3 linked regions of the Oryctolagus cuniculus genome follow. The protein of the gene in region 1 binds, or shares a complex with, the protein of each later gene. Links are inferred from orthologs where the notes say so. Each region holds a gene or a part of one and is shown on either strand. Other genes may lie near its edges.

Region 1 (4,298 bases):
ACATGGGACACTGCGTGGGTTGGAACAGGAAAAATGGAGAGAAAGTTTATAGCAATGTCTTCAAATATGTTCAACTTGTTACACAACTAAGATTTTAGAATGTTGTGCCTTTATATGTGGCAGAGATCAAGGAAAAGCTGGGCGAAGGACTAATGGTACAGGAGAGCAAACCCAAAGAGAACTGCCTGCTCAAGGCAGAGCTGGGTCCACAATCCTGGCTCTGAGAGCCTTCCCAGCACTGTTTCTATTTCCCTCGGTTTTCCATTGCCTCCTGAGCGGGGGCGGGGCAGTGTGCTAGAACCAATGAGTTGTCATTTCAAGAATGCATGGCTGCGCAGTGAGACACTGCCTAGGCAGGCGAGGATTTCTGAGGGAGGGTGTATTAGTCCCCTACCACTACTGTGCCAAACCACCACAGATGCGGTTGCTTACCGTGCTCACAACAGCACGGGCCTGGAGTCAGAAGTCTAAAATGGGTCATCAGGTAATTTTCTTTGTGGAGGCCCTAAAGGAGAATCCATTTCCCTGCCCTTCCAGCTTCTAGAAGCTTCTTGAGTCACGCCCCCTTCCTCCATCTTTCATTTCAGCAGCACAGCACCTTCCATCTGCGACTCTGCTTCCATCCTCACATCTCCGATTCTGACGTCTGCTGAGGACTCTGTGCTTATGCTGGGCCTGCCTGGATAATCCAACATAGTCTCCTGTCTCAAGGCTCCTAACTCGAATGGGGACCAGCCAGGTCCCTTTCACCACATAATGTAATATATCCACAGGGTCTGAAGACTGAGAGGTGGACATTCTTTGGGCCTGTTAGTCAACCTACCACAGAATATATCAGGAAGTGTTTACCGATGCACTGGTTTCAGAGATCTGAGTTCAAAATCTGACTTCAGCACCCACAAGGTACATGATCATTACCTTCGTTGAGACTTTGTTCCTTCATTCATAAAATAGAAATGCAATCCCAAAGTTGTCACAAGGATTTTCATTCATGGATATGAAATGTGTAACACACAGTACACCCAGGAAATGCAGCCCTATTAATTCAAAGAACTGCCAGATGAGGAGTCTCAGCAGCAAAGAACTCAGTGGAAGAGACCCTACTACCAAAGGAGAGAGTTGATCAAGTGACCTCCAAACTCCCTTCCGAGCTGAAAATGGGAGTAACATTTTCCTCCATGTTATTAGCAGGACCTCTTACCATCTTGATGGAGCCAATCACAAGGTAATCACTTTTTGGATAATCAACAGTTATCAGGCTCTGCCCTTTGCCCTCTACAGCCCTGGTATCTGATTTGTCTGCTGAGATTTGATCAGGGCAAAAAGCCTGGCCTGGTGTGCAATGATTGGCTGCACCAGGCAGCTGAGACCAGCGCACACTCCCTCCTTCACATCTGTCAACATACCTGGCTGCGAACAAGTTGCTGCCTGTGACCACTGGCTGCAGCGGCCAGAGAGCAGGAAAGAGATAGAAGGGAACAGCTCATTTTCATGCTTGGGGAAAAGCTGGAGCCTGTGTGGTTGCTTCCTCCCCACATCCGAAACTCTTCAGAGAGGATTGGGAGAACTGTGGACCATCCCTGTTGAATCAGGAAGGAAAGAAGGAAGAATCTGAAATACAAAGCAGCAATCAAGGTAAGGGATCAGGCTGGCCACTGGACCTTCTCTCCAGATTGCAAACAAGCTCCTTAGCTAGCCCTGTAACTACAGTGTCTCTGCCGGCCGTCTCCTTCAGGAGATGTGGTAGATGGGAGTTGGGGCGGGTGTTCACAGAATTCAATCATCTGACCATCAGCGAATTCTGGAAACTAGGTTGAATTTTCCTTCCTCGTTCTTGCTCCTCTAAAAATTGCTGTTGTTGCTCTTCTATGTATTTTGAAAATTCTGTAGGTTTATTCTCTTTCATGGTTTGAAAGCATACATGTGGCTTATTGGAATTTTTCCACTTTGGGTAGCTTTATAAACATGTCTTCATTCTAGAATTTTGCTTGCATGAGTTCTTCTTGCTTTCAAGATATAGCAGAGAGGACAGTGTACAGACAAGTCTGAGAAACACGCTGTCTATTCAGGCGCTGTCAATCTCAAATAATGGGATTTCCCAGGGAGCCATTGGCCTGCTTGCTTTGGTACCAAAGGAGTTAAAAGTCCTGAAATTACTGGAGCAGAATCAAGCCTATTTACCCAGGCTTATCAGACCAGGCAGCCAGGTCAATCATTTACCGGGGCAGGGCTCTTTCCTACCTTTGACAGAAGACCACCAGCTGATCCCCTCCACAGAATACACATGGCAACATCAAAGCAACATTCTCTGAGGCTTTACCCCATATTCTCCTCTGATCAAGTTAGTTTGTATCCTAACCCGAGGAGTAAACCCCACAAGGTCCCTCCCAGTTCAGCAAGACTCATGCACAAACCTGAGACTTCATATCACTAGGATAAAACATTGTGGCTTTAGAGAGCACTTTGCCTGTCAGTGGAGGTCTATATGGAAGAAAGTGGTCTAACTAAGGATCAAGTTATTAAGGGATTCTGATGGAGAATAAGGCTATGGAGTAATTATCAAAAAAGTGAAGTCTTTCTCTTCAGGCCTACACATTTTGTAAATATGTTATTTGAACCAAACATGGCCTCCTCTTCTTTAGGTCTGAAGGTAACTTCTTTAATTGCAGAAACATTGTCATATTGTCATCATGTATACCTGCCAAGCGTGTGCTATAGCTCTTGGATCTTATAGTTGTTAGTGATAGGGAGGCCCTTTTTTCCTGAAGTCCCTTGGGGTAAGGGATTGAATCACATATTAGACAAGGTCATGTTTGATTGTTGTCAATCATTTATGGAACTTAAGTGAATCCCTTCAGGTAAGGTCTCTAGCTGGAATTTTTAGTGGCTGAGGTAGTTAACCAGATGCAGGAGCTGAGGTCACTGCAGACACATTGCAACTTGTGTGATTTGGGACAAGTCTGTGGCAACCTTGCAGGAATGTTATGGACAATTACGAAATGCTGTGCAGATATTAAGTCCTGCAGAATATTAACTGTGTGTCTGGCTGGAAACTGGAATATGCTGTACATCATGCAAGTGCTGGAGGTGGTTTTGAAGGGAGCACAGAGCCTTGGGGCATTCAAGACATAGGCCAAATTTACTTACTATGCTTTAGGCTGCCTTAGGGACTCGCACACACAACTGCACTCTCCTTCCTGTGCAGCCTGGCTCAAAGCCAAAACCACAAAGGAAAACCCTGCGGTTCTATCCAGCTCTTCTTCCCATTTCGTATACATTGTAAATTAGATAGGAAGAGACTATCCCTGAGATGGACTTGATTAAATGGGCATTGTTATTCTCTTTAAATGCTGGAAAGTTAGAACACAGACATTAATTAATTTGCCCCGATTCATGCAGTTACTCCAAGGCTGACCCCTGGTTCTATTCATTTCTGCCTTGTTGCCAACCCATTGCTTCATGAGGCAATGGAGTTGAACACATGGAGACGCTAAAGGTCAACGGGATAAGGAAGTCTCACTAATAGAGTTAGAAGTTCTCCACTGGCCTCTGGATGTGCCAGGCCTAAGGCCAGGTGAGTGCCACTGTCACCAAAAGACCACCGTTTGACTGGAGTGGACCTGATTCTAGGGGACTTAAAAGCACAAACTGGCAGGAAGTAAAGGGACGTGTTTGTAATGGTGACTATCTCTGGACTCGTGTCAGTCCTGGATATTTCCCAGTAAACCTAGTGAATTCTCAAGCTAGATCCTGGGCCCTGTGTTTTCTCTAGACTCAAATTCATGAGCCCCAACTAAAATACCGCACCTGAACCGGATCCAGAGAAAGAATGGACTCCATCCCTACCCTCCCCTGAGAACTCAAGAATTTCATTATTAGATGTCCACTCATCCATATCCCAGTTGGGCGAAAGGAGGCTTAAAGCAAGAGGAACCATCAGCAGTCCATCATTTCAAGGCTCCCAGCTATTGCAATTCAAAGAGACCCAGGTTGGCTTGGAATCCAAATAGCTTGATGATGTCATTTAAGCTGTAAATGAGTAAACTACAGCAGCAAGTCTTCCTCCCCCTCTTCCTCCCAGGTTCACTTCTTTCAAATGCATCCTAAAATGTCCATGGATTGTCTGGCAGAACTTCCAAACAGACACAATGCCCAAGCCTTTACATAATCAAGATTAAGAAACACCACTGTGACGGGTGGTTGGCTAAACACCCTTGCATGAGGGCTTTCCTTTTTTTTATGGACTTGCCTCATGCATACTTCAAGAGTGTGAGGCATTGCAAAGAGGGACTGCATCA
Region 2 (3,500 bases), on another chromosome or scaffold:
ATCTAAGACTGAGACATCCGTTCCAAACATTGCATTGAAGGTTTTCATCTACTACTGTTTTTTTTTTTAAATCTGAGTGTATAATGATTATAATGCAAATAAAGTATTAACCTTTGGCAAAATGCTTATAATTTGAAAGAGTTTAAAAGGAGGGATTCCTTTATCATGCACTTAAGTCTAGAAAGATTTTGTTTAAATATTTTTAAAATGTTTGGATTTTTAAGAACTTTGTTTTAAAACAATTTGATATATAGAAAAGATGCCAAAGATGGTATAGTTGTAAGTATACCTTTCCCTTATCAAAACTAAGAAATTAATACGGATAATAATACAATCAACTAAACTACAGACTTCATTCCAGCTTCACCAGTTCTTCTGCTAGAGCCCTTTTTCCGTCCCAGGACTTAATCTGGGAGACCATATTAAAACAAATTTTTGATTTAGAATGTCTGGGGTCAAATTTCCCAAGCCAGTTTATTCTTTTTTTTGGGCCACACAAACTACCCATGTGCTTCCTGTGGTTTTAAGCCTGTTCCGCTGATATTCTGAGAGGAACACACTCACACCTAGATAGGCAGGCAAATATTTGCTGAATTTGTTCCACATGGAACAGTGAGCTATTATGAGCAGGGATCTGAACAGAGCTTGGATTTAAACCCCTATGGCTTACTACCACTTTCTAACTGTGGAAACGCAGTTTACCTAATCTATCAACTCCTTTGTTTCCTGGTCTAAAAGTGCGGACAATAATAGAACTAACCAAAAAGGGTAAGAATTGAGTATGAACATGAGTAAAATGCTCAGAAGTCCATCTGGCACGCTATGACATGCAATATACAACACCTAATGGCATCACCACACACACGGGGGGTACGATGGGCCCAAAGAGAAGGACTCTGGTTCAATGACAAGAGAAAGAAACAAATCTCAGGAGCTGAACTCCAAATGTCTCTCTCCTTCTGTAAAGTTCATGCCCATTTATTTATGAGAGAGAAAGAGAGACAGACAGATAGAGAGACAGAGTTCCCATCTGCTGGTTCACTCTTCAAATGCCCTCAGCAGCTTTGGGGCTGGGGTTAGGAGCCAGGAACTCCATCCAGGTCTCCTAAGTGGGTGGCAGGAACCCAATTACTTGAACCATTATTGCTGCCTTCCAGGGTCTGAATTTGCAGGAAGCTGGAATCAGGAACTGCAGCTGGGACTAGAATCCAGGCACTCTAATATGAGACAAGGGGATATAAACTGTTAGATCAAATCCTTGCAACCCTAACTTTGTTCGATATTGAGAAATGCATACTTAAGCTAGATGGTTGAAACTTTCTACATATTTCAAGAGGACTGTGATGGTTTGGCACAAAGCCAAGCTCAAAAGGGGCTATTTAAACAAAGAGATCTTAAGAACATCAGTAGTGCCATGGAATCTAGAACAAGGTTTCCAGGGATTCATCCCTCCCACTGCTGTTAAATAGGGAAGAGTCTTCCCACTCACTGGCTGCAAGGCTAGAAAATGCACACGAATGAGAGAACGAAGGAACCAGAGTGGAACTCTAGCTTCCCTCTTCCTTTACCCCAGTCCCAGCGGCTATAGCAGAACTGGGCTGCCAGGAGGAGGGTGAGACTTTTCAGTAACAGCGGTCCAACACGGCAGGGAAAGGCGAAAGGATGTCAGGTACGAAGGGGAACTCTTCCGAGCAGTCAGTGCATAGGACGATGCAGAACCCGCGAGCTGCCAAAGCTTTAAAACTCAGCCTTCTATTTTTAAAATATCTTTATGAGAAATAATTCACACCATAAAATTCACCCACGGCACACACTTCCACGTTTACACTGCTGAATATGTAAGAAATCAACTTTCTGGACAGCTCAGGGTACATTAGCCTACACAGGGATTTCATGGCATCCTAAGGCTGTTGCAAACACCAAATCCTGCAACGTCAACCTCACGGGAAATACTCCTGCCCACTCCTCAAGGTAAAGCGACACCTTCAAATTCTGTTGGAGTCATTCTGGAAACACAGTATGTCCCTGACTGCATTTCTGTGCTTTCGGACAGAAAACAACTTTCCTCCCCTAAAGCCCAGAGTGAATCACTTACAACGGTCATGTAATGCAGCATCCGACCATCAACCAGTCCTTCATCAAACTGGGTCTTATACTGGGGGAGGCCGATATCATCCAGCCATCCTGAAAGGGAGTAACAGTGTCGTTACGGGGCCCAGGAACACCCATTCCTGTGAGCACCCCGAGAAGGCAGCAATGCTGATTTTTTTAAACAACGAAACCCTCTTACTAGTGACCCAGTTGAAATCCAGCTTCCCGTGGTTGGTTTCTTCCTCTGATCCCAGGGCTTGCAGTGCCAGCTGCAGCTTCTTTCGATGAAGTGAATGCTTGATCCCAAGTTCCTGCGACGAGAAACAGCAGCCCTGACTTTATAACTCTATCCACAAGGGCTGGGCGCCACTGCCCAGGGATGCAGACTCCTAGCATCAAAGACCCAATTCCAAACGCAAGGACAATACTAACTGGGACAAATCAAATGTTGCTGAACAAAAGACCCCCTAGGAAGCCAAGACCGCTGTAATTAGTGCAATGGGCTGCGAAGACATTCCTCAGTGACTCATTTTCTTTGCAAGACAGAAACTGCAGCTTGCCTAAGAGCAATTTTACTCTTTTTTGTGCAAAATGCTACTTGATTGGGAAGAAATGTCCAACACTCGGACGTAAAATGCAGGGCACTATTTTTCTCCTTTGCAATGTGAAGTAGAATTCCACAATGAGAAGATAAAGTCACAAAGCGAGTTTCAGAGATCAGAGTTTAAGGTTATTACAGCTATAGCATTATTTTTCATGTAAACATTTAGCCATTTCTAAGCATCCCATGAGGACGCATCAAGACCAGCTTCTTCCTCTAAGTTCAGGAGATAAGATGAGAAAGCAGCAGCCGGGAACCCACACTTTTGCAAGAGTATGTACTGGCTCCACCCACACCACTTTCTGGAACGGAAGACAACCCCACCTTCCACGTGCTTTCTCTTAGGGTCCGATCGTAAACCAAACAGGGAAGCAATCACCTTTTCTAGATCTTGCTGAGAAGCTTGCAAAAGTGTTTGGCCAGATGCAATCCAGTGCTTGCCGGAACTCAGGTAGGAGCCCAAGCCCTGTTCCACAAGCCAGTTGCAAACTTGCTCCTTGGTCCACTTGGCAAATGGCATATCCAAGTCACTACAGGAAAATGAACAGCCGCATGAAAAGCAACTCGAGGCCAATCCATGGCTTATCACCAGTTTCGACCAAGTGTGCATTCAGTAGGTACGGACACTCCCTGGAGGTACTGCTTGTTTGTTAGTGTCTAGTTGAAGGCAGAAGTCACACTGGAGTTGAAAATTACTCTAAGACCACTCGCTTTCTATCTAATGATACCACAGAAGATTCAACGTCCTTCCAAAAGAACGTGTTTTACGGAAAACCATGGAACTGAACCAACATAAGCCCCTGTACCC
Region 3 (3,500 bases), on another chromosome or scaffold:
CTGCGCCGATCCAAAGCCAGCAGCCAGGTGCTTCCTCCTGGTCTCCCATGGGGTGCAGGGCCCAAGCACCTGGGCCATCCTCCACTGCACTCCCTGGACACAGCAGAGAGCTGGACAGGAAGAGGGGCAACCAGGACAGAATCCGGCGCCCCAACCGGGACTAGAACCCGGTGTGCCGGCGCTGCAGGCGAAGGATTAGCCTAGTGAGCCGCGGCGCCGGCTGCTGCAATGTCTAACGGGGAGATGTAGTTTATGAAGAAAACAAATCGAAGCCACAGGGAAAATAACTCCATTCAGAAAACTCAGTGAGTCCACAGAGACAAAGTTAGAGGCCAAGTCAGAGTTCAGATTTATAAGAATTACGCGCAGGTCCCATTGGAGGGAAAATGCTACTTTCTAAAAAGTTGCTAATTAAAAGACACTAAGTAATTCCCCCTCTCCCAAGTATAGTATCCAACTGGGCAAAACAAAGCACACAAACCCTTTTTATTAAAAAGTAAGCCACCCTCACTTAAAAGTGCTCAGCTTAATAAGACTTTATATAAATGTACATTTCTCGGATTCCTACACAGGCTAGTGAGAGTGAAATTTACAAACCTACTTCAGGGAGGGGCTGACGACAGAAAAAACTCTAAAACCCCATGGGCACAGCTTTCCAGCGGGAGGGGCGCTGCCCCCCGGACAGCGGGGCTCCCTCAAGGGCCTGTGAGAGCCGACAGAGGGCCAGTTCCTGGACGGCTCATTTAATACTCAGACACCCTGAGAGGAAGACGCTCCTGTGAAGGCACTGTCCACGGCTCACTCGAGGCCACGCACCACTGGAGGCAGAGCCCGCCGCAAGCCCTGGCAGGCGGGCTCTCAGTCATGGAGCCAAGGCAGAGCAACTGTCAGCTCTCGCCTGTGCTGGGCCAAGTGCCCTGGGGGTGCTCTCGGGCCCGCTGGAGCCACCGCCAACTTCCCGAGGCTCACCCTCTGCCTCCCTGCCCTCGTGCACGCCACGGAACAGCAGAAAACCTCCTCACAGAAGCGGGAACTGCCCCTCTGCTTCAAATAAGCCAGCAAATTTCTTTTAAAGCAGGAAGTTGTGTGCTATTTAAAATGTACGCAGTCAGGCCGGCGCTGTGGTGTAGTGGGTTAGGTCGCCACCTGCAGCACTGGCATTCCACATGGGCATTGGTTCGAGTCCTGCTGCACCTGGGAAGGCAGTAGAAAATGGCCCAAGTGCTTGTGCCCCTGCACCCGCATTGGAGACTTGGAAAAGCTCCTGGCTCTGGTCAGGCCCAGCTCTGGCTGTTGCGGTCATTTGGGGAGTGAACAAGTGGATGGAAGCTCGCTCTCTCTCTCCCACTCTGTCTCCCCTCCCCGTAACTCTGTCTTTCAAATGAACAAATAAATTAGGGTGGAGAGAAGCCCTGGGTATGAACCATGTAAGTCACGTAGTGTGAGGCTGCCACGTTGCCACGGCACGAGGGAGCCGCCGGTGCTGCCCGGTGCACACCTGAGGACCTGAGCTCCTCACGCTGACCCAACAGACGGGAGTGGCCTGAGGGCCTCATCGCTACCTCTGCATAGCAAACGTTAGCAAGAACTTGGCGGCAGTTACATCAGAGCATGCACCACCCTCCCAGACGCAGGCGGCTGCGGACCACTCATGTCCCAGACACAAGACCGCGCAAGCTCCCGCCCAGAGGCGCAGAGCGAGGCCCCACGTACCGTCCATCTGCATCTTCTTGGGCTGCACAGAGGGTGAAGACATGGAGGAAGTCACACGGAAGTTTGCAGGCAGCGTCTCTGCTGACCCAGCAGCCAGGCCGCGAATGTCCTTTGGTCTAAACTTTTTCCTCCAGGAAGGCGCTCTCCTAAAGCTCTTGTCATCGTCCTGGAGATGAAAGAACAGGAAGTGAAATGCATATAAAAAGGAAGGACAGACAGTGCTGACTCAGGAACCTGTGCTTTCTCTGTGCCTGCACCCCCTTCCGCATGACCAGGTAGACTTCAGGGTCAAGGGCAGGGTCATGCTCCTGACTGGGCCGGCCCCAGGATCCTCCCGAGCACTCTGCTAACTTGTCGCCACGTTTCCTGTCTCGCCGCACAGAGAGCACGTTCCTGACAGAGCGCTGTGCTTGTCCTAAGAGTTGTCAAAACATAAACAAGTCTGTGTGATGCCAGCTTTCTCTGCAGACATGGGTTCTATATTCTCCTTGGCAAACCGGAGCCTCACTGAGTGCCGAGGAAGAATGGGAATAAGTGGGTGAAACAGGAAGAAACTCACGTTGTTCCGGGACACAGCAGCCCTGAGCCCGGGACACAGGACCCCAGCTGCCCCGAAACACAACACCCAGGCCCCAGCCCCAGACTGCAGCCAGTGTTTCCACTCTGAGGATCAGTCTAAAGAGGTGTGAACATTTAACGGCAAAAATGAAGAGAAAACTGTGTCATGAAAATGTTGGTTTCTTAATGGTTCTTTTGCTGTGAATTTGGGAGAGCGAAGCTAAACTCAAGTAAATTTATCTCCAGTTTGAGAAGAGACGGCCTTGCTATGTGGCTGCCCTGAGAGTAATAAAGGAAGTTACATCTTACACAAATTTCAAAAACATCAGACCAGAAACTTACTTCATCAAACCGCCGGTCAGTCCCCATGACCAGAAGGTTGTTAAATTCTCTTTCCAAGACAGCTCGGGCCTGAAATCACAGAGCAACCACCAGCAAAACTTACATCACTCCAACCCGACTGATGTCAGCACACCACAACTGCCTTTTAAACCACGACACTTAAAAAGCTTATTCACTGCCCATAATAGTACTTTTTTTCCAACATTTATTTATTTGAAAGTCAGAGTTACACAGAGAGAGAAGGAAAGGTTGGGGGAGGGTGTCTTCCATCCGCTGGTTCACTCCCCAACTGGCCACACCGGCTGGGGCGGCGCCAATCTGAAGCCAGGAGCCAGGAGTGTCTTCCGGGGCTCCCACATGGGTGCAGAGGCCCAAGGACCTGGACCATCTTCTACTGCTTTCCCAGACCACAGCAGAGGCGGGATAGAAGTGGAACAGCCGAGACTCGAACCGACGCCCAAATGGGATGCTGGCACTTTACCCGCTTTACCCACTACATAACAGTATTTTAAATCAGGCTTTAAAGTGTCCCGGTTTTCAAATGGGCCCCTAAGTCAAAGAGAGTTACACAGTCCCTTACTCCCAGAGCACAGTTAACAGAATCTCCATGTGGCACACCTGGAAATACTTTCTTTCACCTAAGAACTAAAGATTCCACGCTGACAAGCGCCTGGACCGGAAGGGAAGGTTCTCCTGATGTTGTCTACTGCAGGGTTCCAGGGCACAGCTGTGGAGCAATGGGTTAAGTGCAGCTGCACCACCAGCAGTCCTCGCAGGTTCGAGTCCCAGCTGCTCCACTTCACATCCACTCCCTGCTAATGCACCCGGGAAAAGCAGGGCAAGGGGGCCGACATGGTGGCACAGCAGGTGAAGCCGCTGCCTGCAGC

What was found. The genes of interacting proteins can lie anywhere in the genome.
Region 2: PHLDB2 (region 1) and PPFIBP1 share a complex: the UniProt entries of both Homo sapiens proteins name them as parts of the cortical microtubule stabilization complex. The link is inferred for Oryctolagus cuniculus from reciprocal best matches to the Homo sapiens genes PHLDB2 and PPFIBP1.
Region 3: PHLDB2 (region 1) and PPFIA1 share a complex: the UniProt entries of both Homo sapiens proteins name them as parts of the cortical microtubule stabilization complex. The link is inferred for Oryctolagus cuniculus from reciprocal best matches to the Homo sapiens genes PHLDB2 and PPFIA1.

The regions. Positions count from the first base shown.
Region 1 is NC_091435.1:67,777,535-67,781,832, forward strand, and holds the start of PHLDB2 (pleckstrin homology-like domain family B member 2), read left to right. Parts: upstream 1-1,498; 5' UTR 1,499-1,635; intron 1,636-4,298. UniProt on the Homo sapiens protein: Seems to be involved in the assembly of the postsynaptic apparatus. May play a role in acetyl-choline receptor (AChR) aggregation in the postsynaptic membrane.
Region 2 is NC_091440.1:124,821,247-124,824,746, reverse strand, and holds part of PPFIBP1 (liprin-beta-1), read right to left. Parts: intron 3,223-3,500; coding exon 3,072-3,222; intron 2,403-3,071; coding exon 2,291-2,402; intron 2,185-2,290; coding exon 2,096-2,184; intron 1-2,095. UniProt on the Homo sapiens protein: May regulate the disassembly of focal adhesions. Did not bind receptor-like tyrosine phosphatases type 2A.
Region 3 is NC_091432.1:2,321,229-2,324,728, reverse strand, and holds part of PPFIA1 (liprin-alpha-1), read right to left. Parts: intron 2,683-3,500; coding exon 2,614-2,682; intron 1,880-2,613; coding exon 1,714-1,879; intron 1-1,713. UniProt on the Homo sapiens protein: May regulate the disassembly of focal adhesions. May localize receptor-like tyrosine phosphatases type 2A at specific sites on the plasma membrane, possibly regulating their interaction with the extracellular environment and their association with substrates.